Linked DNA regions of Sus scrofa. The protein of the gene in region 1 interacts with the protein of each later gene in a pairwise test. Links are inferred from orthologs where the notes say so. Each region holds a gene or a part of one and is shown on either strand. Other genes may lie near its edges.

The links.
Region 2: the proteins of EFS (region 1) and OSTF1 interact in binary tests that used the Homo sapiens proteins (3 or more experiments, as listed by UniProt). The two-hybrid records come from large-scale screens. The link is inferred for Sus scrofa from reciprocal best matches to the Homo sapiens genes EFS and OSTF1.
Region 3: the proteins of EFS (region 1) and TRAPPC6A interact in binary tests that used the Homo sapiens proteins (3 or more experiments, as listed by UniProt). The two-hybrid records come from large-scale screens. The link is inferred for Sus scrofa from reciprocal best matches to the Homo sapiens genes EFS and TRAPPC6A.
Region 4: the proteins of EFS (region 1) and TSSK1B interact in binary tests that used the Homo sapiens proteins (3 or more experiments, as listed by UniProt). The two-hybrid records come from large-scale screens. The link is inferred for Sus scrofa from reciprocal best matches to the Homo sapiens genes EFS and TSSK1B.
Region 5: the proteins of EFS (region 1) and SORBS2 interact in binary tests that used the Homo sapiens proteins (3 or more experiments, as listed by UniProt). The two-hybrid records come from large-scale screens. The link is inferred for Sus scrofa from reciprocal best matches to the Homo sapiens genes EFS and SORBS2.

What each region holds. Positions count from the first base shown.
Region 1 is NC_010449.5:75,717,696-75,724,254, forward strand, and holds the start of EFS (embryonal Fyn-associated substrate), read left to right. Parts: upstream 1-2,544; 5' UTR 2,545-4,512; coding exon 4,513-4,755; intron 4,756-6,559. UniProt on the Homo sapiens protein: Docking protein which plays a central coordinating role for tyrosine-kinase-based signaling related to cell adhesion. May serve as an activator of SRC and a downstream effector. Interacts with the SH3 domain of FYN and with CRK, SRC, and YES.
Region 2 is NC_010443.5:228,178,740-228,184,770, forward strand, and holds part of OSTF1 (osteoclast-stimulating factor 1), read left to right. Parts: intron 1-1,130; coding exon 1,131-1,184; intron 1,185-3,311; coding exon 3,312-3,419; intron 3,420-4,557; coding exon 4,558-4,607; intron 4,608-6,031.
Region 3 is NC_010448.4:51,578,373-51,584,403, reverse strand, and holds the end of TRAPPC6A (trafficking protein particle complex subunit 6A), read left to right. Parts: intron 1-3,216; coding exon 3,217-3,284; intron 3,285-3,447; coding exon 3,448-3,565; intron 3,566-4,161; coding exon 4,162-4,245; intron 4,246-4,370; coding exon 4,371-4,464; intron 4,465-5,217; coding exon 5,218-5,249; 3' UTR 5,250-5,498; downstream 5,499-6,031. UniProt on the Homo sapiens protein: May play a role in vesicular transport during the biogenesis of melanosomes.
Region 4 is NC_010456.5:50,934,876-50,940,245, forward strand, and holds TSSK1B (testis-specific serine/threonine-protein kinase 1), read left to right. Parts: upstream 1-3,009; coding exon 3,010-4,104; downstream 4,105-5,370. Other genes in the region: DGCR2 (integral membrane protein DGCR2/IDD), read right to left, coding at 455-533. UniProt on the Homo sapiens protein: Testis-specific serine/threonine-protein kinase required during spermatid development. Phosphorylates 'Ser-288' of TSKS. Involved in the late stages of spermatogenesis, during the reconstruction of the cytoplasm.
Region 5 is NC_010457.5:46,722,938-46,729,644, forward strand, and holds the start of SORBS2 (sorbin and SH3 domain-containing protein 2), read right to left. Parts: upstream 4,543-6,707; 5' UTR 4,487-4,542; intron 1-4,486. UniProt on the Homo sapiens protein: Adapter protein that plays a role in the assembling of signaling complexes, being a link between ABL kinases and actin cytoskeleton. Can form complex with ABL1 and CBL, thus promoting ubiquitination and degradation of ABL1.

The DNA.
Region 1 (6,559 bases):
TGTGTAGGTTGCAGATGTGGCTCAGATCCCATGTTGCTGTGGCTGTGGTATAGGCCAGCAACTGTACCTCTGATTCAACCCCTAGCCTGAGAACTTCCCTATACCACAGTGAAGCCCTAAAAAGACAAAAAAAAAAAAAAAAAAAAGAGGGAGAGAGAGAGAGAGACAGGGAACCCAGTCTGGCCTGAGAGACATGCAGAGAATCAGAGTGAACAGGACAGAAAGTCCAGCAACTTCTTCCCCCAGCCCAGCGAGGCCTTTGGCTTACTCAGCTTTGTCCAACAGTCGTGGCTGCCCTGTTCATCAATCCATTTGTCAAACACTTACTGAGCATCTGCTATCCACCAGGTACCATTCTAAATGCTACTAGGAATGCAGAGGAGGACAATCCAGATAAGGTCCCTGCATCAGGAATCTCAGGTTTTAGGAGGAAACAGATGGCAAACAAGGAAGTGAGATAATTTCTGATAATGATAAGTGCTATGAAGAAAATGAAACAGTGTTAGAAGACAGGGAATTACTGGACAGTGGGGAGTGGGTAGTGAGAAGGGGCACCTTTAGCTTAAAAAGCTAGGGAAGGCTCCAAAGATGCAGGATTTGACATGATGATGGAAAAGGGTCTGGGGCAAGAGTGGTCCAGGCAGAGGGCACACGACATTCCACCCAAAGGTGGAAGAGCTTGGCATGTTTGAGAAACAGAAAGGACAGTATGGCTAGAAAAACAAAGGCTAAGGGTGAAGGGAAGAGATGGGTAGGGACCAGATCACATAGCGTCTTACAGGCTGTGGTGGAACATTTAGATTTTACCCAGGGTCAGTGAGAAGGTATCAACTGTATTCAAGCATGATCTACGTGATGGCAGTTTCTTCAGGGCAGGCACCATGTCCTTGACCTTCTGCTGCCCCATAGAGCTGGCATCAAATGACAGTAAGATTTGCTTTGAGCCAACATTTACACATCATGGACCAGGCACGGTTCTCAGGATTCTCTTAATCCTCCGTTCCATTATTATCCTACTTGACGGACAAGGAACCTGAGGCTCCAAGAGGTCACATAGCTTGCCCAGGTTGGACTTTGCCAGGGTTGGAACCAGGATTAGAACTCAGGGAAGCTGGATGCTAATGGGGCTAAAGAGAGGAGAACTGGAAGAATTCATAAGCACTTGAGATGTTCCGCAAATCAAGAAGAACAAGAACAGGTCAAGAAAGTCATGACGGAATGGCATGAGGACGAGACCAGCTGTGGATGAGCTTGGCCTTGCTGGGAAGGGACAAGATTGGAAGAGAAGACTGGGACCCAGAAGGCCAAATGGAGAGGTTCCTTCCTTCCTACCCCCTGAAGAATGGCAAAGACAAGCCTGAAGCTGAGGGCCCTCCTGTCTGAGGCAGGGTCTTAGCAACCCACCCAAACTAACCTGGGGCTCAGAACCCTCCCTGAACAAGTCAGAATCATGTTAAACTTTTGTTTGGGAACAAGAGGGCAGAGATGAGGCCTAAGAACAGGGAGAAGTCTCCTCCTGCCCTCAACAAACACTTTGAGCTCTCACCAAGGTTCAAGCTGTGGGGGGAGTGGGGAGCCATGCAGAGCCAAGGTGAAGAGGAAGAGCCATTGTGCCATGGACTTTACACATATTTACTCACCAAAGTCGCTGTCCAGATGAGGAACTGAGCAACAGAGATGTTGCAGATCTTGACCAAGGTCACCCAGCTGACAAAACAGGATTCACTCCTGAGTCTAACTGGCTCCACTCCCTGCCTGAGCACTCCAGAAACACAGACTTGTTTTCCTGCAGGTTTGCACTCGGCTCCCCAGTCACCTAGCCGCAGGCACAGGGCCTCAATGCCCACATTTCAAACCACCGTTTTGCCAGCACTTCCTTCCTGCTTAGTCTTTTCTGGCTTCCATCTATTTTCCCCTTGTGCCAGTCAGAGCGGTCATCTTTGGGAACTGGGTTTCCTGCCCACCTCCATCTTGAGCCCCACCTCCATCTTGTGCCTTGGCAGCCCCCTGGGCAGTGGTCATGCCAAGTCATTCTCCAGCTGCTAAATTCCAGGCAGCCAGACCCCCCAGGGCTGTGGTCTGGAAGAAGCTGCATCAGGCTGGAGCTGGAATGGGGGAGCTCTCTCTTCAGATGCATCTGTAAATTTAAAAATTCCTCTCTCAGGGTTCCTGTTGCAGCGCAGAGGAAAGGAATCTGACTAGTATCCATGAGGATGCAGGTTCGATCCCTGGCCTCGCTCAGTGGTTTAAAGATCTGGCATTGCTGTGAGCTCTGACGTAGGTCTAAGACAGGGCTCGGATCTGCCATTGCTGTGGCCAGCAGCTGCAGCCTGGATTCAACCTAGCCTGGGAACTTCCATAAGCCACACGTGTGGCCCTAAAAAGCAAAATAAAGTTCCTCTCCCATCCTAAGAGAGTCTGAGTCTGTTCATAGGTGCCCAAGCAATGAGGGGGTCGGATGGAGCTGGGGCAGGTATCCCCCCTCCCCTACTGGCTCCCTACCTTTCCTCCCACCTACCTGGACACGGACACGTGGGCCCGGAATGTGGGGTGGGGGGGTGCTGGTAGGTGGGAGGAAAGGTAGGGAGCCTCTATCCAAGGCCTCAAGTTCACAAAGCGCCTTAAATTAGACTTCTGATGTTATCGCCAAATGAGGTTTTACACAGAGCCATTGTCTGTTCACGTGTTTGAAGTGTTAATGCGCTAAATGTAAACATTGAAAATATACCACAGCTTTTCAATCCTGTTTGGCATCTCACTTTTTAAATTCCAGGAAGCTCAAAAACGGAAGAAGGAAGGTTCTCTGGAGTTTCTGAGGGGCCTTGATGTATGCCCCCAAAGGAAGAACGCGGAGTGGGGGCTAGGTGGAGGGAAGTTGCGCCCACAAAGGAGCAGTAAGTAATAGGGCAGGAGAGGTGTGGGGACCCCAGAGCCCCGCCCTTTCTGCTGAAGCTCCTGAGGGGCCAGAACGCAGCTCCTCTGAAAGAGTCCTATCCGCTGTCCTCAGTTCTCCTCCTCCTGGCAGCAGGAGTGAGCCAGAGTGACGGCGAGGGACAGGCCCGGACTGGCTGAGGCGGCACGACCGGCGGGGCGGCAGCTCTGGGACCCGACGCTCAGGCAGCACGTTCTCTCCTCAGGTCCAGAATCCGTGTCCAGCCCCAGCCCCGCGACCTGCCTCCCCCGCAGAGAGAGGCCAAGCCAAGAGAGTGGAGCGGCTCCGCGGAGGACCCCAGAAAGACGGAAGAGGCGCGCTCCCTCCCACGGGAAAGACAGATGTGGGGCTACTGAAAGGCGGGCAGAGAGGCGCGGGGCAGGCGGGGGAGAACAGGAGCGTGACCGGGAGAGGAAAGCTCTCCGGAGGGAGCGAACCAGACCACCGGGAGGTCCGCCGCGACGTCGGGCAGGAGCAGGCGCCGGGGAGAGGAGCCAGGAGGGGGCGTGCAATTTGGCCCGAGGGTCCTGAGCTGAAACTCAACACCCGCCTTTAGAGGGAACGTCCCCCTTTCCCCTCCGCCCCTTCTCTTCCCCTCCCTTTTCCCCTCCCTCCTTTCTCTTAATCCCTGGGACTGAGCCCCGCGCCGGAGCGGAGAGGGCCCGAGGGGAGGAGAGAGGAGCTGCACTGAGAGGGCGCCGGGAGCCCGGGAAGGGGAGGGAAAGGGAGCTGCGAGCCGGGGGTGAGCCTCGGGGCCACGCGCCACCCCTCCCCCCGGAGCCTTCCTAGTCGTCTCAGTGTCCCCCAAACCCCACCTTCAGGCGAGTCCGCAGGACCCTGGTCCCTGCTCCTCCTTCGCATTCTCTTTGGTCCTTCTTTTGCTTTGTGGCCTTTCTCTCGGTTCCCAGAGACACCTGGGCTGCCCCGAGCCCTGGGGCGCGCGGAACGGCCCCACAAAGGGTGCGAGTGAGCAGGACGAGGGGGCTGGTTCCGAGGGCCAGGGGGCTGAGGGCTGGAGAGGGGCGGGTGGGCCCCTCTGGCGCGTGGGGAAGGCCGTTCCGCCCCTTCGAGCCGGGCCCTCGCGCGGGTGGCGAGGCGCCGTCGCCGCGCCCCCAGATCCCCGGGCGAGTGTGCCTGCGTGGGAACCCGCCTCCCCAGCGGCCGCGGTCTCAGAGCCCTTCGGCGCCAGCCTGGCCTCCGCTCAGCAACTCGGAAGAGTTTAAAGAGGGACGAACGTCTCCGTCCTGATCCCTCCGCCCTCCCTCGGCGCCGGACCCCAGCCCCAGGAGCACCGCACTCCAGGCCGGCTCCCGGCTAAGGAGGGTTGGCTCCTAAACTCGCTCGTCCAGCCCGACCGTCCCGGCAGCTTCTCCCTGCCCTCGGGGCCGTCCTGAGCGGCCCGGGGAGGCGTCGAGGCGCAGCCCCAGCTCCCGCCTCTTCTCCTTTCCCGGCCCTGGAAGGGAGGTTTGGGCCCATGCGGACCCGGGGTGCCCCCGCGGCCTAGGGCAGGCAGCTCCCCGGCCTGGCCCACCCGGCGGCCCCCGGGAGGCCGCGGGACAGTGCAGAGCGCGCGCCCTTGGATGAGGTCCCGCAGCGACGCCCTGGCCCGCCCCGCTCCTCCTCCTGCCCGACCAAGCTGCCTCCCATTTGGGGAGTTTTGTGGGTTTTCTTTTTCCTCCTCCAACCTCCGCGGAGGCCACGACTCAGGCGCCGCTGCTGGGGGCCGCCTCCATGGTGTGGGGCAGCCGCTGCTGAAGTCAGCGAAACAGCCTGGCCTGGAGCTGGCCACGCGGAAGGCCAAGGCCATGGCCATAGCCACGTCGGTGAGTCCACCAGAGAGAGGAGACTGCTGGGCAGAGACCTCCACAGTTTGTCCTGCACTCCTGTCACTTTGATTTCTGCCTTCTCTTTGTCTGGCTCCTTGGTCTCTTGCTTCTCTAGGTGGTTGTGTCCCCCTCCTGGCACTTTGTTTCCCTCACTCCCTCTTACTCCTCGTCCCAAGCTCCTTCTGGGTCTGGTTTCCCCTTCTCCCTTCCCCCTCCCCATCCTCCTTTTTTTCTTTCTAGAGGCTGTGCCTGGAAGGAAGGGAGGGGGCAAGCCTGAATCCTAGCTACTCCTTTGCGGTGGCCACAGGAACAGATGGCCACTGGCTGTTGGCAGGGGCTTGTGATTGAAGGGCTAGTAAAAGGTTAGGAGGGGGATGAAAGAACGGAGATAGCTCCCAGAAAAGTGGGAGAGGCCAGAGGACCCAAGGAGGCCCTTCCCAGAGGAGGGATGGAGGAAAGGGGAAAATAGAGCAAAAGAGGGAGAGTAGTCAGGGAACAAAAAAAAAAAAAGTGGAGGAGGGGAGGTGATGTCAGCCAGCCTCTGGCCACTTTTCTGGGACTGGTGACAAAGGGAGGAGACAGCTGGCATGATGGGACAGTGGGAGGAGGCCTCCCTGAGAGTGTGTGGCCCACTGCCACCCTCCTTTAAGGCAACCAGCCGCTCCCTCACTAGTCAGAGGCCCTAAGGAAGGGGTAGAGCTGGGGTGGCCACACCCCTCATCAATCAGACTATCAGGAACTCTGGCCTGGGTTCCCTCAATTGCAAGACCCGGAGGGTTGGTCCCATTGGACAGAATTCAAACCTGACACTGGGAGGAGCTCTCCACAGCCTCACCCCTGCTTTCTGAATCCCTGCTGCTCTGTGCCCTTTCCACCTTTCCCTCTACCCTGGGATTCCCAGGGAAGGTGAGGGTGCCACCTGCTTTCTGGCTCCCTCTGAATGTGCACTCTAAAAGGAGGGTTGTGAGCCTGGGAAGAAAAGCATGGCTCCTGACATCCTCCCACACCCTTGAGAATGAGTTAGATTTTTCACTCCTTCTCAAACTCCCCTTCGTTTCTCCATCTGTATGATGGTAAGCAGACCTTCACTTAGAGCCAGAGGAGGGGGAGGTCCTGAACAGAGTGGGGTACTCTGACCGGGAGCCAACTGGTCAGCTGGTCAGCACTGAAGTCTCAGAGGTAGATCTTTCTTTTTGTGGGGGTTGGGTACAGGGATGGTATTTATGTTCATGAAACTCACAGGATCCTAATAACAGCTAATATTTATTGAGCGTATTCTGGCCCTGTGCTGGCCCTAAGCTTTGTCCTGTTTGGGTTTTTTTTGTTTGTTTGTTTTTTGTTTTTGCTGCTTTTTAGGGCCGCACTTGCAGCAAGTGGAGGTTCCCAGGCTAGGGATCTAATCAGAGCTATAGCTACAGCTGCCGGCCTGCACCACAGCCACAAGCAACACGGGATCCGAGCCGTGTCTGCGACCTATATACCACAGCTCACGGCAACACCAGATCCTTAATCCACTGAGCAAGGCCAGGAATCGAACCATCAACCTCATGGTTACTGGTCGGATTCATTTCCACTGAGCCACAATGGGAACTCCTGCCCTGGTCTTTTGATGCATTATCTCATCCAGTCCTCACATGAGGCTAGTACTGTTATTATCTGAAAGTGGATATTTGGATATGGGTATGGAATCCTACAAAGGAGGAAACTGAGGCTCTAAGGCTCGGAGAGGTTAAACAAAGTGCCCAAAGTCACCCAGCTTGAAAGCGGTAGAGCAAAACTCAAACCCAGGTCTGCTGCTTTA
Region 2 (6,031 bases), on another chromosome or scaffold:
CAAGGGTCTTGGGTTTAAAACCTTCTTCTTCCACTTTGTAACAAGGGACCTTAGTTAAGGAATTTAACTGCTGCTCCTGGGACCATTTCTCTATGTGTCTAATGAGAGGGTTTGATTTAAATCACTTCTAAGATTCTTTTGAACTTGAGCATTTAGATACATCCTTAGACCAATAGGGCTGACATCAGGCACCAGTTCCAAACACTGGAAGGGGACTTAGGAAATTTCAGGAAGGTACGTAAAGCTCCTGGGGGAGTGGAGAGGAGGAGAAGAAGGGAGAGGGGAGGAAAATGAGTGAGGTTGAGGCCTGAGTCTCAGCACAGGGGTCCCACTTACCAGTCTAAGGGCCATACCATTCTGGATTTTAAGACTTCAAATGTTTCTACACTCCTCTAACCTTTGAAATCCCAAATAAACTTCTACTATGCATCCCAGACCCAGCTGGTTACAGACACTGAGGGTATAAAATATTCCTCTGTTGCTTTAGATACCTCGTAGCCAAGGGAGTGTCCATAGCCCTTTGTGTGGGAGGGGTGGGTCTGAAGTCACTTGGACAGCAAGCTTCACATGGTCACTCTGACTGACTCTAGGACAACAGTGAACACACCTTCTGTAGAGGCAAGTATAGGTGTGCTGATTGCCCTTTCTGAATGCAGAAAGCAAAATATTTCTCCTTTACCCCATTCCTCATATGCACACAAGGGAGACAATTCTTTTTAGCCATCTTCAAAGCAGGATGTTTTTATAGTATGTAAAAGTCAACATCAAATGCTTTCTTTTGCAGTTTCCTGACTAAATTTGTGAAACACTTGAGTAAACTGGTGTGCAGACCTTGGATCTGTTTTTGATCATACTTTTTCTGTTGTTGTTTTTATTCATACTTCCAGTTAATTGCTATGTTTGTTTCTGTTTATCCTCACAGTTAATTGCTAGGTTATTGTTTTAGCCTGGTTTCATTTGACACATAATTCAGCTTCTTTCAAAGCACAAAACATCATTTTGATTATCTGTCGTTTTTTTTTTTTTTTAAATCCACATTAAGTAAGGGAAACTGTACGATGGAAAGTCGTGGTACTTCTGAAGCTGGGTGGCCTCTCAGCACTGGTTTTTCCTTTTTCTTTTCAATCTAGTGGCTGAACAGGCAGAATCCATTGACAATCCATTGCATGAAGCTGCAAAAAGAGGTAGGTGTGACTCTTTTTTATTGTGATACACAGTATGGTAAAACACACAGATGTTAATTATCTAGTTTGATGAATCTGACAAATATATACACCCATGTAAGATCAAGATCAAGATCTGGAACATTCCTATCTCCCAGAAATGTTCCCGTCCCAGTTAAATCCTTGCCTTCCCCAGAGGCAGTCTTTGAACTGCCTGCTTTCACTTTAGAGAAATATGTGGTTTTAATTTCCAGAATGCCAGTCCACAAATATTTGGGAGTACTTTACCTGCCATGTGCTTAGTGGCAAGTGGAAAGGCATGGTCTATGACTCCCCGAGCTCAGAGTCTGGAGGAGGAGAGACATGTGTAGCAGATCATTACAAGACCTTGTGATAAGAATAGCAATTGAAGTGTGATAAGAATAGCAATTGAAGTGTGTTTCAATTAAGTAGGCTCTAGAGGCCAGAATGAGTAACAAGGGTAGAGGACGGGGTCTTCTTGGGGGTCCAGCATCTGGGAGAGTTGCTATAATGCAAGCATGTATGGTGAGGATGCAGCAGGGGAGGAAGGAGCACTAGGGATGGGCCTCATACTTGGAACTTTATCCTGTAGATCAGTGGTTGTCCATTAGGCGTAATTCCTCCCTCCGAACTCTAGGACATTTGGTAATGTCTGGAGACATTCTGACTGTTAGCAGTGGGGGTATGCTGGCACTTTTTGGATGTAGGTTAGAGATGTTGTTAAACATCCTACAGTATATAGTACAACTCCCATAACAAAGAATTATCCAACCCCAAATATCCATAGGGCTGCTGTTAAGAAACCCTGCTGTAGAGAATGGAGAGTTCTTGTAAGGCCACATTGAGCTTTCTTTCGTTTAATTTTAGGTCTTTTTTTTTTTAGGGCTGCACCCATTGTATATGGAGGTACCAGGCTAGCGGTCGAATCAGAATGGTAGCTGTCAGCCTACGCCACAGCCACAGCAACAACAGATCCGAGCCTTGTCTGCAACCTACACCACAGCTAATGGCAACCGCCGCATGCTTAACCCACTGAGCAAGGCCAGGGATTGAACCTGCATCCTCATGGATACTAGTCAGATTCGTTTCTGCTGAGACACGACGGGAACTCCAATTTTAGATCTTTTTAAAATCTGAATGTGCAAAAGGAAACCATTGGTTTAGGATTGTGTATAACTAGAATTAAACTAAATTGAAATTATAAAAATTCTTTGTAAACTAGATATTTACAGCATTAGCAAGAGAACTTTAAATTAATAGCTATACTTTAACATATAAGAGCAGCAACTTTAGGTAGGTTATTTGTTTTTTCTGTTCTTTTAAGAACTGAAAATGCTTTTTTTTGAGAGCTGCACATGCGACATATGAAAGTTCCCGGGCTAGGCTGACCTATACCACAGCCATCGCAACATCAAATCAGAGCCACATCTGTGACCTACACCACAGCTCACTGCAATGCCATATCCTTAACACAGTGAGCGAAGCCAGGGAACAAATCTGCATCCTCATGGATACTAGTCAGGTTCATTTCCACTGAGCCACAGCGGAAACCCTGGAAAATGCATTTTTAATATGAATGAGTAGTCTCTGCTTGACTGTCCCCCCCCAAAAGTTCCAGGATTTTACACACAAAAAGCACCTTTTTTTTTTTTTTTTTTTCTTTTTTTCTTTTTTAATAGTCACACTTGTGGCATATGGAAGTTTCCAGGCTAGGGATTAAATCCCAGCCACAGCTGCGACCTAAACCTAAGCTATGGCAATGCCAGATCCTTTAACCCATTGTTCAGGGTTATCCAACTCACACCACCACAGCAGCCCAAACCACTGCAGTCACATTCTTAACCTACTATGCCACAGTGGAGACTCCAACTTTTTTTTTTAAACAGAGTAAAAATAAGTGGACTCATTTAGGCAGCTCTTCCCATTAAAAATTGATATTAATGCTTTCCATGAATAAACTGGAAGTCAAAATGTACCATAGTGAATGCATTACAGGGCAGGTTTTAATTTCAGACTTATTAATCCTTTGCAAATACAAACTTATGCAGGATGAAATTGATTTAGAAGCAAAACAGAACAACCCAGAAATCTGTTTCATGTGTTTTTATAAATGTAAATTTTTTTCAGGCAACTTGAGCTGGTTGAGAGAGTGTTTGGACAACCGAGTTGGTGTTAATGGCTTAGACAAAGCTGGAAGCACTGCCCTATATTGGGCTTGTCATGGGGGCCACAAAGGTATTACATTTTGTTTGTTATCACAAATGTCTGTGCTATTGAAAATGTGCTTCATCTAGGGGAACCAGAATTAGAGAAATGAAAAAAAAAATTGGTTATTCTTTTTAAATCTTTCAGAACATCAGCCAAAAGCCCTGTTTTGGAAGCTCTTTAAAACAGTAGGCAAAATGTGGTTGGTCAGCCTTAGTACATGGACCTCTTTCACTTGAAAGAGTAGAAGCTTTCTTCTCTCAGGCTTGGAAAGCTGACAAGAAAACAGCAGTAATATAAAAACAAACCCCACTGTCCAATCTCATAGAAGAAAGGGGCAGAATTCACTCCTCTAGCTTAGTTTTTCCCAGTTTGATTTTTTTTTTGTTTTAATTTTTTAAAGGGCCGCACCTGTGGCATGTGGCGGTTCCCAGGCTAGGGGTTGAATCGGAGCTACAACTGCCAACCTACACCACAGCCACAGCAACTTGGGATCCAAGACTTGTCTGACCTACACCGCAGCTCACAACAACGCTGGATCCTTAACCCACTGAGTGGGGCTAGGGATTGAACCCCCGTCCTCATGGATACTAGTTGGGTTTGTTACCACTAAGCCACAATGGGAACTCCCCCAGTACTCTTTTAAGTTTAAGATTTAGGGGAAAAATAGTGTTTGCTTGAGTAAGTGATTCAGTTGATAACTTTCTCCATTATAATCAATAATAATGACAAATGGAATTTCTAGATGTATTTTAGCCTGGCCAAGAATCTGCCACACCACTCACTTTTGTCTGCTCTCTGCAACACGCAGAAAATAATCCCAACAATGAGAAACAAAGAACCCAACAAATTAAATAGCATTGTTAAAGGAAAATTTAAACTCAACTTAGTGATAAGACTATTAAGTACCCCAGCAAACATAATATTCCTATCACAGATGTCATGTGAAAATGCAAAAGCCAAATTATTTGAAAAAATTTCCCCTAAATAATTTTACTTTTAGATTCTTAGGTCTTCTATTTACCTAAATGTTGAATGATTTGTTACAAGGATTTTCTTAAGATTTGTCTAAAAAGAGTCCTCTCTTTCTCTTTAAAAATTATTATGCCCAGACCTGGTAGACTTTTACTTCCATTCTTAAATAAGATCTTTTCTATTTGAATTTCAGATATAGTGGACATGCTGTTTACTCAGCCAAACATTGAACTGAACCAGCAGGTGAGATTGCTTACACAGAAGACATTTAGCCCACCTGCCTTGCTTTTCTGGTACAGCTTCTGGGTGTGTAAAATTCTATCTTGGTGTCTTGAACTCGCTTTTTTTTTTTTTTTTTTTTTGTCTTTTGTCACTTTAGGGCCACACCTGCAGCATATGGAGGTTCCCAGGCTAGGGACTGAATCAGACCTGTAGCCACTGGCCTATACCACAGCTCATGGCAATACCGGATCCTTAACCCACTGAGCGAGGCCAGGATCGAACCCGCAACTTCATGGTTCTTAGTTGGATTCGTTACTGCTGCGCCACGACGGGAACTCCTCCTTCATAAAATTTTTAAGCAAAATACTATAAGCACATAGTTAAAAAGTTATTGTACGAAGTCCAAATTGTATAAAGCCCCAAATGCCTGCCTTACTTCTCATCTATATCACTTTCAGCTTTTAGCTCTTTCTTCTCACCTTCATGCTACTAAGGAATGTGCTTATGGAGCTGTCTCATAATTCATTATCTTCATAAGTATTTTGACATTCTCTCTGGTAGGTGATGGTTTAAGCTTGTCAACTGCCCAGCTGTCTCCCAGCACCCACCACCCAATCTTTCCTCCTTTGGTCTTCCTAATGAATCATCATAGTTTTGGTTATATTACTATATAATGCTTATAGTATTATGAATATTTAAATATCATCCATTGCTTGTTAAATGTTTTTGTTTCTGTATTTATTGATTTTTATTTAACTTTTTTTGGTATCTCACAATGACTTCTATACTGTTTTTATACTCTCTTTTGATATATCTTTCTAAAATGTAAATTATAATCAGTTGCTTTCTCTTTTTTTCTGCTTGGAATCAGACTTCCTGAAGCCCTCTCTCTTCATTCTCTAATTGAAGCAATTCGGTCTCTATTGCCCTTTGCTGTTTTCCTGGCAAACCCTTTACCTCCTTGTTGTGTTGTATCTTCACTTTTCTGGATCCCGTGTCTTCCTGTTGTTGAAAAGTACCATCAAGTAGATTCCTGAGAAAGGGGAGCCTGGGGTTGACTATTTGGCTGATGGAATTCTAGGTTGAAAATGACTTCCCTAGAATTTGGCAGGCCTGGCTCCAAGTTATTCTAGTTCCCAGGGTTGCTTTTGAGATGTTTGATGCCATTTTGAGTCCCATTGTTTTGTGCATAATCTGCTTTTCCTCTTGATTAGAGTTTTATTCTATCCTTGGTGTTCTAAACTTTCACAGTGATGTGCTTGGGCATGAGTCTTTTGCTGATAATTCTGGTGAACTCTTTCAGCCTGGAAAAATATCTTGTATTATTTCTTTTATAGTTTTATCTGTTTCCTTTGTTCTTTGGTTCTGGAATGCCCATTAGTAGCTATGTTGGCACTCTCAGATTGAGCCTCTAGTTTTTCTCAGAGATTTTCTCACCCTTTTGT
Region 3 (6,031 bases), on another chromosome or scaffold:
GGGGACTGTAGGGCCACCAGCAACAGCACTGCAGAGCGACACAGCCGCAGCGGCCTCCAGCGCCGGGGACGTGGAGGCGCAGGACCACTAGGTTGCTTGCTCCAGGGTCGTGTGTCCAGCCGGCACCAGGGCCAGAATTCAGACTCGGGCAGTGTAAAGCTCACCCGAGGGAAGCCCCCCCGCCCCAGCCCCCTGGCCGGGCTGAGGACCCTGCTGGCTCTCTGGCACTGGCCCGGGGTACCTTCCCTCCCCAGCCCCTCCTGGCTTAACTCTACCTGCTTCCTCAGAGGCGTGCGCCCTGGCTGCACAGCCTCCATCCTTCTTGGCAGCCACCCGAGATGGCCACGAAATCAGCAGGGGCACCACCCGTTCCCCCCACCCCCAGCCTCTCCCCCGCAACGCCAGCCCCACCGGGACAGGGACTGTGTGTTTCCTCAACCGCGCTGCACATCAGGAACCTTTGGGCAGCACTTGTCGTCACACGGGGAAAAGGCATCCTCTTCAGCCTGCTCTCTGGGGCCCCCTCCCCACCACGACCCCACCTCAGGGCCTAAGCCACGTTCTCAGGCTTTCCCTAGCCCCTCTCCTGCACACCTGGGGGGGCGCCCTCAGCCCTCCCCCGAGGTTGCCATCCCCGGGGCACCTGTCACCCCCACTAGGCACGGTTAGGCAAGCTCCTGGAGGCCATGAATGGGGGGTCTCGGGGTCCCCCCTGTCCCCTGGGAAACCCTCCGGACACAGATGCACTCTCCGGCAGAGCCTGGCCCGCCAGGAGCTGCCCCCTAGGAGGAAGGCAACACAGCAAGGGCAGAGAAGGCTGGCCGAGGGCTGGGCAGCACTCCGGGTGCTGGGCTCCGTCAGCCCACAGGACCGAGTCCTCCTTTGTGGGGTTTCCCTTCCAGCCCAGAGCTGCTTCCCCCATCAGCCAAGGCCTCCTCATGCAAAGCTGACAGATGCAGAGCCGGTGACAATGATGGTAATGCTTCCTGGGCCCAGCCCGGTGCGCCTGGCTTGTATTCACCAACTCCCTTAACGGTCCTCATTTTACACGCGAGGCACCTGAGGCACAGGCGGGACTCTGCCCCAGTCCCGCAGCTCGCACGGGTGGGGGGCTGATCTGACTCCTGACCCCGAACCCAGCCGCCAGGCCCGTGGCCCCCTTTGCATCTCGCGCCCCGGGCTCAGCTCCCACACATCACTCATTAGTCACTGGCCCTCCCTGAGAGGCGGCCCTGCTGTGCCTGCGGGAACCGGAGAGCCAGTGTCATCCAGCAGGAAACTGTCCTCCCCCAGGCCCGGTTCCTGCAGGAGGAGCACGGAATGGTGGGCCAGGGCCTGAGTGTCGCGCAGCCTAACTGCAGAGAGGGACCCTTGCTCTGAAAGGCAGGCCACCTCTGCTCAGGCTTCCCTGCTCCCAGCACACCCCCAGGCAGGCCTCAGCTCCCGCCACCTCATGAGGACAGAGAGCCATGGGGGTCACCCTGGATGCTCACCCCTCTGCCACCCACGCTCAGGATTTTTTTGGTTTTGTTTTTTTCTTTTTAGGGCCTGCAGCACATGGAGGTTCCCAGGCTAGGGATCAAATCAGAGCTGTAGCCACAGCAACGTGGGATCTGAGCTGCTTCTACGACCTACACCACAGCTCTGGCAATGCAGGATCCTTAACCTATTGAGTGAGGCCAGGGATCGAACCCACATCCTCATAGATACTAGCTGGGTTCTTAACCCGCTGAGCCACAACAGGAACTCCCCTCTGGGAGGTTTTACCTAACCCCTCTGCACCCTGGTCTCCAGGTGTGAAATACAGCCTACCTTACAGGGTTGTTAAAGTTTGTGGGTTTTTTTTTTTTTTTTCCTGTCTTTTTGCCATTTCTTGGGCTGCCCGCAAGGCATATGGAGGTTCCCAGGATAAGGGGTCCCGGCCTACGCCAGAGCCACAGCAACGTGGATCCGAGCTGCGTCTCCAACCTACACCACAGCTCAGGGCAACGCCGGATCCTTAAGCCACTGAGCAAGGCCAGGGATCAAACCTCAAACCTCATGGTTCCTAGTCGGATTCGTTAACCACTGAGCCACGATGGGAACTCCCGGGGTTGTTAAAATTAAACAAGGGGATTTGTACCAGGCGCCTGGCACAGCGTACACTCACTGTCCGTTCAGCATCTGTCTCTTGTGCACCTCCAGTGGGCCAGGCCCCGTACTGGCCACCACAGGCTGTCCTGGTATTTCTGATGTCCCTGGTGCAGGCCCCCCTCCGTCGGCTCTCTCCAGGTCACACAGATTGAAAACAGGTCACTCCTCCTCCAGCTATGCCATCCGCGCGCCCGGGCATGTGCAGACACCAAGTGCAGCCCTCCCGCTGCCCCTGTCCCTGTGCTGCAGCCTCTCCACCGTGGGGACCTGGCCTGCCCTCCAGAAGGCCACTTGACCACCACTGCCTTCCCGAGCAACCAAGGGAGCACTCCCCTCCACTGAGCCCCTGCATGTCCCTTCCAGAATTTTTTTTTCTTTTTTTTTTTTTTTTTTTTGTCTTTTTAGGGCTGCACCTCGGCATATGGAGGTTCCCGGACTAGGGGTCTAATTAGAGCTACAGCTGCCGGCCTACACCACAGTCACAGCAACGCGGGCATCCGAGCCGTGTCTGCAACCTACACCATAGCTCACAGCAATGCCAGATCCTTAACCCACTGAGCGAGGCCAGGGATTGAACCCACAACCTTATGGTTCCTATTCGGATTCGTTAACCACTGCGCCACGATGGGAACTCCCCTCCCAGAATATTTTAAGGCTTGATGATCACAACTGACTTTCACAGCTTCCTGCTGGCCAGGTCCCATGTGAGCCCCTGGGCAAGTCACCTTGGGCTTCCGGGACCATCACAGTGCTCCCCCAGACGGGTTGTAAGGGTGGACACTGCAAGTGCAAACAGGAAGCGTTGGGTGTCCTCAGGGCCGCAGCTGAACCAGAGCAGACCGCATTTCTCCTGGATCGAGGGGGAGCGGGTCCTGAGGGCTGGTGGGGGCCGTGGAGGTGTGTGAGGGAGTTGAGGAGTCATGGGGTGGAAGGACAAAGCCAGCCTGTCCGGCGGGCCCTGCAGGAAGACCCTCCCCACCCCTGCCCTGGCGGGGATGGCGGGTCCCCTGGCCTCTGCTACACCGGGTGGCTCCCGGTTGGAGGTGGCCGAGGCCCCTGAGCCTCTCTTCCTCCACCTTCTAGGGACAGAAGATGAGCCTGTCGGTCCTGGAGGGCATGGGCTTCCGCGTGGGCCAGGCCCTGGGCGAGAGGTGAGAGGTGGTTAGGGCCTGAGGTTGGGCCCCTTCCTGGGCGCACCTGGCGGGCGGGCAGAGTGCGTTGCTCCGCACAGGAACAAGCCTGGCTCTCTCCCTCTTCCTCACCCGGGGCCCCCCAACCCAGCCCCGGCCCACTGTGTCTGCTGCCACCCCCCAGGTTGCCCCGGGAGACGCTGGCCTTCAGGGAGGAGCTGGATGTCCTCAAGTTCCTGTGCAAAGACCTGTGGGTGGCCGTGTTCCAAAAGCAGATAGACAGCCTCCGCACCAACCACCAGGTGACAGCCAGGGGATGGAGCCCAGAAGAGCGGGGCGGGGACCCCCATGAGGGGAAGCGGCGGCAACCCCCCCGCCCCGGACCTGCCCAGGCTGGGAGGCAGGCGCCTGGGTTTCCCACGGCAGCCACCGCCCCCTGGGCACCTCTGCACAGTACTCCCTCCGAGGGAAGGCAGGAGGCTGTGGTGGGCGTGGCAGCTATTTCCAGGCTCCCAGGATGAGACCCCCTGGGGCTTGCGGCATCCGGCCTCGGCCTGACAGCCTCGGCCTGACACAGCTTGTCTCGATCTGGTCTGAGCTCCCATTAGGCGCCCACGCCGTGCCTGTGCCCGTTCCCCAGCTGAGCTGGCCGCTCCCCGGGCCTGGGCTGCAGCCACCCACCCGGGAAGTAGCACGACCAGCGGGGGCGGACACTGGGCCCGGCTGGAAAGGTCCTTGTGCCGCTTTAAAGGACAGGCCGGGACTGCAGTGGCTTTGAGGGAAGGGTCCTTCCAGACCTCAGTGCAGCAGGGCTGGGGCACTGGGCCCTTGCTTCCTCTCCCCCCACCAAAGGCACAGGCGCCACCCCAGCCCTCACGGGCTCCTTCTCCGTCCCCAGGGGACCTACGTGCTACAGGACAACAGCTTCCCCCTCCTTGTCCGGATGGCCTCAGGCCTGCAGTACCTAGAGGAGGCACCTAAGGTACAGGTGTGGGGGTGGGTGCCAGGGCCCCAGCCCCGGGCAGCCTCTCCCCGCAGTGGCCCCCCGTGGCCTGGCTGCTGGCCTGCCCTCTCTTCCCTTGGTGACCTGTGTCCCCTTGCCCCCAGTTCCTGGCCTTCACCTGCGGCCTCCTCCGTGGCACCCTCAGCACCCTGGGCATCAAGAGCCTGGTGACCGCCTCCGTGGCAGCCCTGCCTGCCTGTGAGTTGTAGGGGGGGGTGGGGTGGGGGTTCCCAACCCTTGAGTGTGGCCAGGGGCCCCCTACTCCTGGGGCCGGGCCACCCAGCCCCATTTCACAGCGGGGAGTCTTCGGCCCAGAGAGGGTGAGTCACAAGCCCAGGCCACACAGCTGGTGCCGCCCATCCACGCCCCTGCCCCCGCCGTCCCCCAGCCCGGAGGAGAGAACTGTCAACGAAAACCTGTTAGTGGTTTGGAACGTTCTTCCCAGCACGGGAACCCAGGTGACATGACGGAGGTCACCCTGGTTGGCACTGTGATAACGGACTCCAGAGGCAGCCAGGCGCCCGGAACCTGTGGCCCATGTGACGGGGCAGCCCCCGGGGCCCCCACAGGGCCCTCTGTCAGACAAGCCGAGGCCCCATCCTTAGCCAGAGGCGGCCTGCAGCTGACTCTCCAGCCCCCTCTTTCCCTCTGCTGGTCCCCAGGTACACTCATCGCGGGGGACCTAGGGCCTGAGTGGGCCAGGTCTGAGCAATACATGCCATGGACGCCTGTGCCAGGCCCCACCCTGGCGACCTACATGCTTGGCCTTGGTGCCCCCAGTCACCCACACAGCCCTGGGATGCAGGCCAGGTGGGAGGGAGCATCACCCCCTTAGACCAGCGAGGAAACAGGCTGTGGGTGCAGAGCAGGGCTGAGCACCTCTGAGCTGCTCGGGTGCTGCCCGGCCCCTCCGACTCCAGCCTCACGCTAAAGCCAGATCTTCTCTTCCAGGTAAGTTCCAGGTGGTGATCCAGAAAGCCTGAGGAGCCCCAGGCCCCACACCCCGCTGAGCCTCACCCCACCCGGACCCCGGCCGATGCCTGTGGTGAGGGCCAGAGGGCCGGTGCTGGGGAGATGGGGGTCCCACCGCTTCAGGGCATCACAGGTGCTGAACAAACGGGTGTTGCAGGGAGGTGGGGCATCCCAAGGCAAGAGGGTCCCTGTCACAGTGGGGGCAGGTGTGGAGGGCTGCCCGCATCAGACACGTCCCAATAAAGATTCTGTACGTGGAACTAGATTCATGGAAGATGGGGGGGTCATGCTCAGTGCCAGTGGGGGCGGGGAGGGCATTGGCAAAGCGACCGTGTCACAGGTACTGTGGGGGAGGCAGAGCACCCCGTGTGGCTCCCCAGCCCTCATTTCCTCCCCTCCTGGGTCCCCCTGCGCCCCAGCCTCTGCCCCAGCCCTGAGGCTTGCCGCCTCCGGCCCCGCACACCTGGCAGGGGAGGGCGGCCCCTGGCGCCGACAGCCTCTCCAGCATCAACAAGTCCAGGGCTGCTCTCTGCCCAGCAGGGGCCACGGAAGGGACCTCTCCCTGGGTGCAGGGCCAGGGGCCCCCGGAGCGCTCGCAGGGCTGGGCTGGGCTAGGGGCTGCCAGGACCGAGGATGGATGGAAGCGGGGTGCGTCACTCTCAGCCCCCCCCCCAACTCCCCAACACACACATGCTCCAATACACACTTCACGTGCCTGGCAGACACAGCATCATACCCAGAACAGCGGCCTGGGTGACGGGTCCCTGAGGAGCTCAGCCTCTGCGCGCTCGCC
Region 4 (5,370 bases), on another chromosome or scaffold:
AGTTCAGGGCTTCTTCCTACTGATTTTCAAAGAAAACACTTTGGCAGGCCACTTAAAGCACCCGGTCTCTTGTTCCTGACGGATAAATCGGCCCTGTCTTTGGGGAATTGATTTTCTCGTTGAAGGAGATGGTCCGTCAGACACAGGTAGACTTGTCCGGGATCTTCCGGCTGCGGCAACCCCGACTCCCCACCACAGGCTTCCTCAGAAAACACACGCTCCCGGGGCCCTCCGAAAGCCTCTGGGGACCACAGACCAGGAGCACTCCCAGGGCCCAGCTCGGGGGCTCACAGGCCGAGCGACCGTGCAGACCAGATGCCCCGAGCCGCCCCCGCGACCCCCGGCCAGACCCCCACTGCTCTCGCTCCGGTCAAGCGCGGACGCGGGTCCACAGGCTCCCCAAGGTCCCGGCGCCGGCCCCGCGGGGTTCAGCCCCGCCCCCACCGCCGCTCACCTGGCCGCAGCGGTTCGGTGACCGTGAGCACCAGAAGGAAAAGCAGCAGGAAGGCGCCGCTGTCTGCCTTGGGCACCATTTATCCTCCGTTCATCGTCCCCGGGGCGGCCGCGCGACCCCACGGGGAGGCCGGGCCGGGCCGGGCCGGACGAGGACGCGGCGGGAAAAAGCTCCGGGAGGGGCGGAGGGACGCGCGCTCTCGGCCACAGCCTCGGGCTCCGACTCCAGCTCCGCGCAAGATGGCGGCTGTCCTGCTCGGTCCGCGCCGCCCCGCCCCCGCCCGCGACGCGGCGCTGGCCAATGAGCTCCGAGAAGGGCGTGGCCCGTGCCCTCCCAAGCGCAGTGTCCGAAAGGGGCGTGGCCCGAGGGCGGCCGGGGTTACGAAGTGTCAAGGGTACCATTGGCTGAGCAGAGAGGTTGTGTTTGGGGCGGAGCCTCAGCGGCGCGGCCTCCAAAGGGCCCGGATCCTAGGACGGGGGACAGGGGTGGTGGGGCCTAGATGACCGACACGGAAAGGGCGGGACGTTCATGGGCCGGCGCGGCCCGGGGGCGTGGCCTGAAGGGAGTGGGGCAGTGCGCAGGGGGAGCTAGTGGGACACCGAGGGTCTTCACACCTCTGGCACCAGATGGCCCAGGTCTCGTCAGCGGTCACAGAGTGCACCCCAAAGTGGTCTTTTTAAAGCGGAACCGCTGTGGAGTGGAATCTGGACTATCTATGAAGAGGTTCTGAAGGCGGTTCCACCGTGTAGGGAACATGCATGTGTGTGGCTTCCCCCGCACGCACAACTGAAATGTTTCAGAGGAGGAAGTAGCCTCAGGGAGGGTCACCAAGGAGAGGTGACAGGGAAGCCCAGATCCTAGTGACTGTGAGCAAAGCCGGCCTCTGGAGGAAGGGCCCTGCCTACACAAGGGGGGAGGCAGGGACGCTGGCACAACTGCTGCCACAGCAGGCCTGTGTGCATGGAGGGAAGCCAGTGGGGACAATACTCCAAGTGCTGGCCATGCACCTGTCATCGTGGGAGGGGACACAGCAGATGGGGTGTTCTCAGAGATAGGAAGGACCACCAGCCACGCACACAAGGCCTGGCCCAGGGTGTCGGGGCTGGGGAAGAGGGTGAGGATGGGAGCAAAGGCCAGATAGGGCCAAGGTTGGTAGGCACCCACCTGGCCCACCTCCAACCCCCCAGCTCACTCCAAGGAGCAGTTACCCTGAGCCCTTTCAGGGCATGCTCATCCTGAATGTCCCGGGATTCCAGCCAGGGACACTTAGAATCATCTGAGAGAAGTACCCACTCCCTGCAGATGCGTTTGACCAACATCAACCCCAAGACCAGACCAGACCTGCCTGCTCCTGTCTCCTCAGGGCATGGCCCAGAGAAGATGCTGGACAAAGGGGGCCCACAGCAGAGAGGCCCCACTACTGGTAGAAATGGCAGTCCCTGCCTAACACTGTCCTGTAGGCATGTCCTCAGGGAGCATTCCCCCAGCAGCTGCTGTACTGGATCCAGGCCCAGCCTTCTGCCCCCAGCCCCACACCTGCCCTGGGAGCCCAGCCAGGGCTACAGCTGGGAAGACCACCAGAAGGGAAGTCACAGTCAAGAGTAGAAAGCCCTACCAGCTGTCACCTCCAACCCCTGCAGAGCCACTGTCAGAGACCAGCAAAGTTTTGGATGAGAGCCATACAGGGAAGTGAAAAGTCCACCTAAACCATGCAGGGGGAGGGCAGAGCACCAGCTTCCTAAGCTGCAGTGACCACTGGGCCAGGAGTCCTTGCCCCTCCTGACCACCCCACCCGCCTTCTTGGTCTGCTGTGTGCCCAGCAGACTGCCTGCATGGACACTATCAAAGGCTTCTAGGTCAGGGACATCTCCCCAGCCCCTTCCCCATGGGCTCCTGAAGCCTCCACCTGAGATCACTGCTTCTCTCAAGGTGGCCCTCTCTGCCCTCTTCCTCCCAGGTCCTAGTGACCATCTGCCCTTCTTCCAGTTCTGCTACTACAACAGGGTTCCCTACCCTCTGCTCCATATCTGTAGCCCACCTCAGAGATCCCTAACTTGAGAGCGACTCCCATTTCCTACTGAGCCTCAGACTGATGGGACCATGTACATGCCCTGCATTTCCAGGGATGCCTCAGCTTGCAGAAATCAGCCCACCGATCCATCAGTAGCCCTGGCTCCACTTTGGAGGCTTAGGCAGAACTATGCGCTCCTCTGAGTCCCCTCCTACCTTGGGTCCCAGCAGAGCATGAGGTCACGCTCTGCTGGCCTTCGGTCTGCTGCAGCCCACTGGCCGGCCTCCTAGGGTTCCAAGTCTAAGTGGCTCAGACCAGAGCCTCATTCCCCAGGGCACTCCTCCTTTATGACTTCACCCGCTTAAGTCACCTGGGAGACAATGCCAAAGGTTCCACTCTGGAGTCTTGGCCTCTAGGAGGCAGGGACGGCAGGCCCGACAAGCCCAGAGGACTCTCTGTCCACAGTGTAAATGAGGACGCCACTGGCCCATGTCCTGCAGGGATGTAGAGGGCAGCCTCAGAGGCACTGGGTGCTCCCAGCACCATGGATGACGCTGCCGTCCTCAAGCGACGAGGTTACATCATGGGAATAAATTTGGGAGAGGGCTCTTATGCCAAAGTCAAATCCGCTTACTCTGAGCGCCTCAAGTTCAACGTGGCGGTCAAGATCATCGACCGCAAGAAAGCCCCCACGGACTTCCTAGAGAAATTCCTTCCCCGGGAAATTGAGATTCTGGCCATGCTAAACCATCGCTCCATTGTCAAGACCTATGAGATCTTTGAAACATCAGACGGCAAGGTCTACATCGTCATGGAGCTTGGGGTCCAGGGCGACCTCCTTGAGTTCATCAAGACCCGGGGGGCCCTGCAGGAAGATGATGCTCGCAAGAAGTTCCACCAGCTCTCTTCAGCCATCAAGTATTGCCATGACATGGACATTGTCCACCGAGACCTCAAGTGCGAGAACCTCCTCCTTGACAAGGACTTCAACATCAAGCTGTCTGACTTCGGCTTCTCCAAGCGCTGCCTGCGGGATGACAGTGGCCGACTGACGCTGAGCAAGACCTTCTGCGGGTCAGCAGCCTATGCAGCCCCCGAGGTGCTACAGGGCATCCCCTACCAGCCCAAGGTGTACGACATCTGGAGCCTGGGCGTGATTCTCTACATCATGGTCTGCGGCTCCATGCCCTACGATGACTCCAACATCAAGAAGATGCTGCGCATCCAGAAGGAGCACCGTGTCAACTTCCCACGCTCCAAGCACCTGACAGGCGAGTGCAAGGATCTCATCTACCGCATGCTGCAGCCTGACGTCAACCGGCGGCTGCACATCGATGAGGTCCTCAGCCACTGCTGGGTGCAGCCCAAGGCACGGGGCCTGTCCTCTGCAGCCATCAACAAGGAGGGTGAGAGCTCCCAGGGCTCTGAGCTACCGTGGCCCCCTGAGCCCAGCTCTGACAAGAAGTCTGCCACCAAGCTGGAGCCCCGGGAAGAGGCCCGGCCTGACACAAACCCCGAGGAGGAGGTGCTGCAGATGCAGGTGTCCAGGCAGTCAGAGGCCACGGGTCTGGCCAGCGAGCAGCCCAGTAAGGAGACTGAGGAAGGGGCCCCATTGCAGCCCTCAGAGACACACACTTAGCCAGCCTCTGATGGCCCAGGGGGCCGGCAGGGAACAAGGCAGAGCTTGCGGCTTCCAGCCTGAGCTCCAGAGAAGCAAAGGGATGCCCCAGAGAAGGAAGACAGTCCCAGATGAGCTGCTATTTTCGTCAGTTTCTTCCCCCTCCCTTTGAACTTGGTAACCCACATGGTAAAGAAGCAATAAATCACTATATTAGTGCAGCCCCCTAGGTGGATGTCTTTGCTCTGCTGGCCTTAGTCATCCAAGAAAAGGACTCTGCACTCCCTCTGTTCCCTACTCTTGGACTGCACTGCACTTCACCTCCCTGTGTGTCCAGCCCTGCCTGTGACTTCAGGCCCTGGACCAGAACCAACTGAGGAAGACACTGCTTCAAGAGGGCAGGGTGGCCCATGAGTACCTCATGGTATCTCAGGGCTGGAGAGGGGTGAGGGGGCTGTGGCAGAGGAGGGGTGGGAGACGAGGCCCTCCTGCTAGGGTCCAGCCACCATAACCTCACAGGGCTGCTGGTGGGGAGGGGCTGGCCTCCCTTGGTCTATGTCTCCAGGGCCTCTGCCACCTCCAACCAGCACCTGATGGTGCCCCGAGTCATCCCGCCTGGTGGGCATTCCCCTGCCCAGGAGCAGTGGTGTGGGTTGGAGGGGGGGCTCTGCTGCATGTCCCATGGTCACTGTGTGCCCTGACCATATCCTGACCCCCTCTGGTCCCAGTCTGCCCCCAGGCGACCTCCCTGCCAGAGTAGATGAGTGGACATTGGCTGAGGGAGAGGACAGGTGCCCCCGCATGCATGGCTGGCCCCAGTGCCCTCATATCCACGGAGGAAGTGGGCCTGCATGAGCATCACTGCCTGCCAGGCACCAGGGCTGCCCATCGCTTCTCACAGTTCTTAGCCAGCTGTGTGAGGCAGCCACTTCCTCCCCCTGTCCTGCGCTTACTCTGGACGACCTCATGTGGATCTTCGGGTTCAACATACCCTGAGAGCACAGACCTTCACGCTGACCTCTCCTCCTGCCTGGGTTGGCGTCTGGGGAGAGGGGAGCCCCAGTGAGTGCCCAAACCTGGCCCCCTGGCAGCACCTCCCCACATCAGCCTGCCTCTTTCTTGACCATCTCCCACAGCCACCTCTGTGCCCTGGATTCTCATGGCTCTGTGCTCCCGTGTCCTGACTCAGCCACGACGTAGGCCTCCTTCCCCATCAGAGCCCCTCCTGTATTGCCCGTAGGAAGGGCCCCCATGCCTGGCCCTGAGGTCCTCCCAGCTCTGGCTTTC
Region 5 (6,707 bases), on another chromosome or scaffold:
ATTATTTTTTTATGTGGTAAAGTGTAAGTGCTCTGGGTATTAAACATGTAAACTGGGGATAAAGCTGCTAAGACATTTAAGTCTGTGTACTTGAAAAACCAAAGGACTCTAGATATTTCATTGAATTTCTACCCAGCCCTCTCTGGGCCAGCTGAGCAAATCTCTGCTCTTTCAGAGGACTTTTCTCGAAGAGACAGGATTTTCTTCTGAATTTTCCTCTGTTCTTCCAGTTTCTGAAAACGTAAAGAACAGGACTAGATGCTTAGTGCTTAGTGCTTTCTGTCTGCCCTGTCCTTCTGTTAAACTGATTTGGGGAGAATGCCCCTCACCATCAGGTCAATTGATGGCTGCAGTTTTGTAGGCACACAGATCATCAATACTTAGGGTCAGTTAGTTCTGGAAAATCATCCAATCTAAGGTTTGCCCAGATCCCTAGTTTCCAGCCTGTGAAATGCAAGGAATAATGCAGTGCTTCAGGTTCCTGGGAAGATACTTTGTTTCTTTTTCTTCTTAGTCTAATTACTCACATTCCAGGTGGTTCTGCCTAATTTTAGAATTATCATGATCTACTTTATAGGGAAAAAAACCCATAACGTTTCATGTACAGTATAACTTAACATAAATTTTTTAGGGAGTGAGGAAAAATACAACAGGATTTCTGTCTCCTTTAAGATTAGGAGATATATAAAATTTTAGTAGTTACCATTGGGTTGTGTTGTAATTTACTTACAGTGTAACCACTTGTGCAGCCAATTAACTTGCATTTTCAGAGAATACTTAATGAATGAAAAAATATTCTCAAAATAATGAAGTAAAATTGAAGATGCAAATCAATACAGTGTAATTCCAATTTTGTTTTTTTTAATTTTTAAAAAATTTTTATGTCTTTTTTTAAGGCCACACCCATGGCATATGGAAGTTCCCAGGCTAGGGGTTGAATCTGAGTTGCAGCTGCTGGCCTACGCCACAGCCACAGCAATGCCAGATCTGACCTGCATCTGCAACCTACACAGCAGCTCTTGGCAACCCTGGATTCTTAACCCACTGAGCAAGGCCAGGGATCAAACCCATGTTCTCATACATACGAGTTGGGTCCGTTACCACTGAGCCACAACAGGAACTCCCAATTTTTTTTAAAAAAAGGTCACTGTGAAATTGTTTTAAGAACAGGGGAAAAATATCCCCAAATGTTCATTTCATCATCTCAATGGTGGGTTGAATTTTAATAAAAGTCACCTCTTTTTTCTCTTTTGTGAGCATGCCTTCTCTCATTCATGAGACACTGTCAGGACAACCAAGGAACTAATAATTCATGTTTTAGCTTTGATAAATCTTCACAGATACAGGCAGCATATGCATTTAATGAGTTAGAGTACTGATAACTCAGCTTTTCTGATAAGAAGTCCTTGAGCGAGGCCCTTTTAAGTTCCTCTAAGAAAGGACAGTTGGAGAGCCCTCATGTGAGTTGCTGCAGCCCAGTTGGCAATAGTCCATTTGCCACTAGAACCCAGGCTTAATAGCCTAGCTCAGGGCCCTGCTCCAGAAGTCATGGACTTGAGGAGGTCCAGGCTTTAAATTCTGCCCAACTTTGGAGCTGGGCACCCAGGCAACTGCCTGCCTGCCGAAACAGGTGAGCAAGTAGGGACCATCTTGAAACCTGGAAGGGGCTTTGCCCTGACCTTACTGCCCATCAGTGTTCTACCCAAATTCCATTGTTACTGATAAAGTGTCATGTTGATATTTTTTAAATAACTGATGTTATCTGCTTACTGAATACTTTTCCTATGAAAATCACTGAACGGTCATTTCCTTCTATTGGGGAAAAATGACTCATGCTCCTCACTCTTTTGTATCTTTTTTACATGGTCAAGTATTCATATTCTTTAAATGGCTAGGGATTAAAAAAACTCAATCCCATTGGTTAATTTAAAACCTTACTTTATCTATACGTAGAACTTATTTTGATACACAGTCTCATCTGAACAGATTCAAATACAGAGGCTCTAATGCTACCCACCTAATATGGAAGGACCTGGAACGCAGACTAGAACATTCTTCCAAGTGGAAAACAGCTCAGATGGTTAATGCAAATGAGGAATTTCAATTGGCTTTGAACATAGCATAATGCAAAATAACCATCTCATAAATTACTTTCTCTCGTATCTGTGTATCAAAATATTTATAAAATGTCTTGCACTGTCATACCTAACTAAGCCTCTTGGTATTTACTTTTTCAGTAGGATTCTCTTTGTCTTAACACAAAGTCAGATGCAGTGACTAAGCACTGACTTAGAAAGTGGACTTTCTCTCTCTCATTCTGACTCTGTCTCTGTCTCTTTTTGGATATACAGTCAAATTAGTGTGAAGATGGAGGACTAAAAAATATCACACAGATTATTATGGTAAATTGTGGATAGTAAATTCCACAATCTGATATGTGATCTGCTTTCTTGAAAAATATGTGCATTTAAAACCAACCCAATTTACAGTTGAGGAAGTCAAAGTTTCCTTTTAAAAGTTATCTATGAGTAGAAAATGGGAAGTTCAATGGAGATTGATGAGCTTATAAATTGTCTGTTTAGGAATAAGTAACTCCAGGGTATTCTGCAAATCTCTAAATTCAGAACAATCAAGGGAACCCATGAGCTTTTAGGAAAACTCATTCCCTTGGAAGATAATCTCAATACTGTGTGTGGATCGGAAGAGCATCCAAGTGTGACAGAAAGAATGTGAAAAAAAGAATGAACACTGTAAACCAACTATAATGAAAAAATAAAAATCATTATATATATATATATATATATATATATATATATATGAATGATCTATTATAGGATGGTCATAGTACTTAGGAAAAAGAAACTTGTGGGTTTAAAGTTCACATGGACCAAAGTGCCTGAATGATAGTGAGGGGTGATTAGTCCTCCATGCTCTGACCTCACTCAGAAATAGCCTGGACCAGGTGGGCCAGTCTGGGCGGTAAGAACTCAGGCCACGGCCCTGCATGGCCCCTGCAGAGGGTGAGTGCTGAATCTGGGGACTGAAGTGTGTGCTTCAAATTTGGGATGCACACATGGAAGCTGCCTCTTGCTCAGAGATGACCCATGCCCAGTAGTGGCGATTGTAGGGTAAGCAGTGTCCCCAGAATCATATGTTGAAATCCTAGTTCCAGCACTTAGGAAAGTGACCTCATGTGGAAGTAAGGTCCTTGCAGATGTAATCAAGTTAGGATGAAGCACAGAGGAATAGAGTGGGTCCCAAATCCAATGACTGATGTCCTTATGAGTAGAGAGAGATCTGGAGACACATGCACAACAAAAAGGAGCACTACCACGTGACAACAGAAGCAGAGATTGGAGTGATGCTGCCATTAGCCAAGCAATGCCAAAGATTTCTGGCAACCACCAGGAGCAGGGAAGAGGCAAGGAAGCATTCTTCCCTAGAGCTTTTAAAGCAGTGTGACCCTGCTAACATCTTGAATTCAGACATCTAGCCTCAGAACTGCCAGACAATCGATTTATTTTGTTTTAAGCCACTCAGTTTGTTGCTCTTTGTTCAGGCAATGCCAGGAAATGAGTACAAGGACTACAAGGTACCCTTTAGGCATCTCTTCTTTTGCAATCCAAGGTTGCAACAATTTGCCTTGAAGGGGTAAGAGAACTACTCAAGGTTTCCAAGGGGAAGGGGGTAGGTTTGGGTAGATTCCTCTGTGATGAGCTAGATGAACAACATATGGTGGAGTCCAATCCAGATCACATCTGGCCAGGGTGACTTCAGAAACAAAGAGGGTCAAGAAGCCTGGGCATTGGCAGGTGAAGCAATCCAACCAGCCTGAAGCCACAGACAGTGACATCCAGGTGAGGGCTTTGCTGTCCTGTCCACCACTGGAGCCTAGTTGAGCCAGGTGGAGAGCCAGGGAAAATTCCACATGGGCACATGGCTTGGAGGCCCACAGCAGTCCTGCCATCAGGGGTGTTCGTGGTGATAAGAGACTTCCCTGTACCCCATGAAGTGTCAGTGAGCAAGAAGCTTCCACTCGCTATAGCAAATAGGACTATAGGGCCTGCCTGTAACTGAGAAGCAGCAGGTGGGAGGATTTTTAGGACAAGGGTGGGGCCTGGTTCTAGTTTCCTCACAGATTTCCTAAGACCCTCCAGCCAAAATATTTCGTTCTAAAATAATGCAGAGTAAAGAATTCTAAAACCACCCATCTGGCCTTTCCCTGCCTCACTTCCTCCGATTTCCCCCCTGGCCTCCTTTAAATCAGCGCAAATCAAGGGCATGTCTGCGGAATCTCACCAGAAATTCCGCTGGGACAGGATAGGAATGGATGTCAAGGGGAGGTTAGAGGAGCCTCGTATTCTTTGGCGCCCATCATTTTATTTCCTTGACTTCCCTGGGAAAACATTTTGTTAAAACACATGCCTTGATTCCCGCCTGGCCTCGTTAGCCCCAGGCAGCCGCGGTTCCCATGAGCACAGCGTACCTTCTGAAGAAATGCACCCAGATCAGAATGGTATATGAGTCTGTCCTATTCTGGCTCTAGAAAAGAAACGTTACAGTAAATAAGTGGGCGGGATTGGCACCGCAATCACAAAAACAACCAAAACAGCAATGAAATCAAACTGAGGAAAACTTAACTTTAGCATCATATATACACTCTTTGACTGAGTTGGACTGTACTTCTGCAAGAAACAACTGCAAAAAGGAAACTGTGCAAAGAGTTGTCATTATTTTTGGTGTGTTGCATACTGCAGTTAACCGTCAGAATTAAATAGAATTGGGTAGATTGGGGGTATTTTCAGGTGGGTCTCAGGTGGGCTGAAGCAGGCAGCGTGGCTTTGGCAACCCTGCGTTGTTTTGCTAATTCGTTCCTACTTTCTTTGCGCTTTTTCTTGAAAACAAACTTTCTCCAACAAAGCTTCATCACCACATTTTCATAGAATGAGTAGGCCAAGACTATAGTGTTTGTAGGGTTTATACCCACTATTCCGTCTCCTCTTTGCTTTTCTAGGCCCACCACCGTCACCAAGTGCCAGGCTACCATCCCTCTGCCCACAGCCAACTCCTCCTGCACGGAGGCCCCATCAGGCCCCCCTCCTCAAAGGGTCCTTTCTCCCAGCTCTGGTCCTTTCTTTACAGTTTAAACCTCTGTCGGCCAGACGCTTTGCACGAATTGAAAATCGCCTCTGGACTACTTCCATCCTTAAAAGGGGTGCAGGAGCTTACCTGACCATTTAAGGTCCCTAAAAGAGGCTAACGGAAGTTGCACACACTTTCCTCTCACAGGTAAATTCATTTTAAGCAGGTTATCTGTATTTTTGAAACATAGGATTGACCCCATGGGCAGGAATTTCGGACCAGCTAGGATGCGAGGCTCACGGGGTGTGGGGAGCTACTTGGGGGCTGGTGGGAGCTGGTCAGAGGTCCTCATCTCTTTTTCAGGAGGCAGTTGCCCAGCCAGCCTATTTCAAGGGATGACCCTGGTTTTAGGGGGAGAAGTGGTACCTGTTTCTGCAGATAAATCAATCCTCTCACAGCCATAAATACTCCATTTTGATATTCTTGGAGATTTGCTTCAAATGAATCATACTAGCTCTTTTCTTCCCTTCTGGGCAGAATACTATTTGCAGACATCGGCAAATTTGGGAAAAAAGCTTGTTTCCTAAGTGGAACCATTCTGAAAACAAGGGAAAAAGGCAAACTGCACACTCATATGCAACCATTCCCCCTGAATATCCCCAAGTTTTCATTGTGTTTAAACTACCTGTTTATAAATAATATCTGATGAAAACCTCATTAAAAATGTATCTGCTTCTATGTTAAACTTTAGTTAAATTTCCACTCCTGGACTATATCTTTAAAGTATTTGAGTGTGTGTGTGTGTGTGTGTGTGTGTGTGTGTGTGTGTTTGTATTTTTAGGGCTGTACCTGCAGCATATGGAAGTTCCCAGGCTAGGGGTCGAATCAGAACTGCAGCTGCTAGCCTGCACCACAGCTCAAGGCAACCCACTGAACAAGGCCAAGGATCGAACCTGCATCCTCATGGATACTAGTCAGGTTTGTTAACTCTGGGCCATGACAAGAACTCCCTAAATTTTTTTTAATGGCCACACCCATAGCAAATGGAAGTTCCTAGACCAGAAATTGAATCCGAGCCACAGCTTCGACCTAAGCTACAGCTGTGGCAATCCCGGATCCTTTAATCCACTGCTCTGGACCGGGGATTGGACCTGTGCCTCCCCAGCAACCTGAGCCACTGCAGTCAGGTTCTCAACCCACTGTGCCACAGCGCGAACTCTATGTGTGTGTAATCTTGTCTCCTTCATCTATGATGGATCAGCATAAATGGTTTACCTGCAGAAAACTAAACTCCTATACATGTGCCTTAATGAAGTTCAGATTATTTAATAGTAGCAATTAAGATATATCTCAGAAAATGTTGATAATATGATTTTTAATACAGTCCTAATGTTTTGGGGGTCCCAGTAACACAATTACAGTATCTATTGCAGCCAACATTTACCCAGGTTACTGTGCGTCAGACTCTTTTCCAAGCTTTTAATATTAACTTAGATAATCCTCCTAGTAATGCACTTGGTGGGGCCACTGACAGGTGCTAAGTTACCCAGGTCTGGGGGTGGGGGTTGCTGGTCTCCCACACAAGCAGGGCTCTGATGTTCTCTGTCACTGCTTCAGAAAACGTG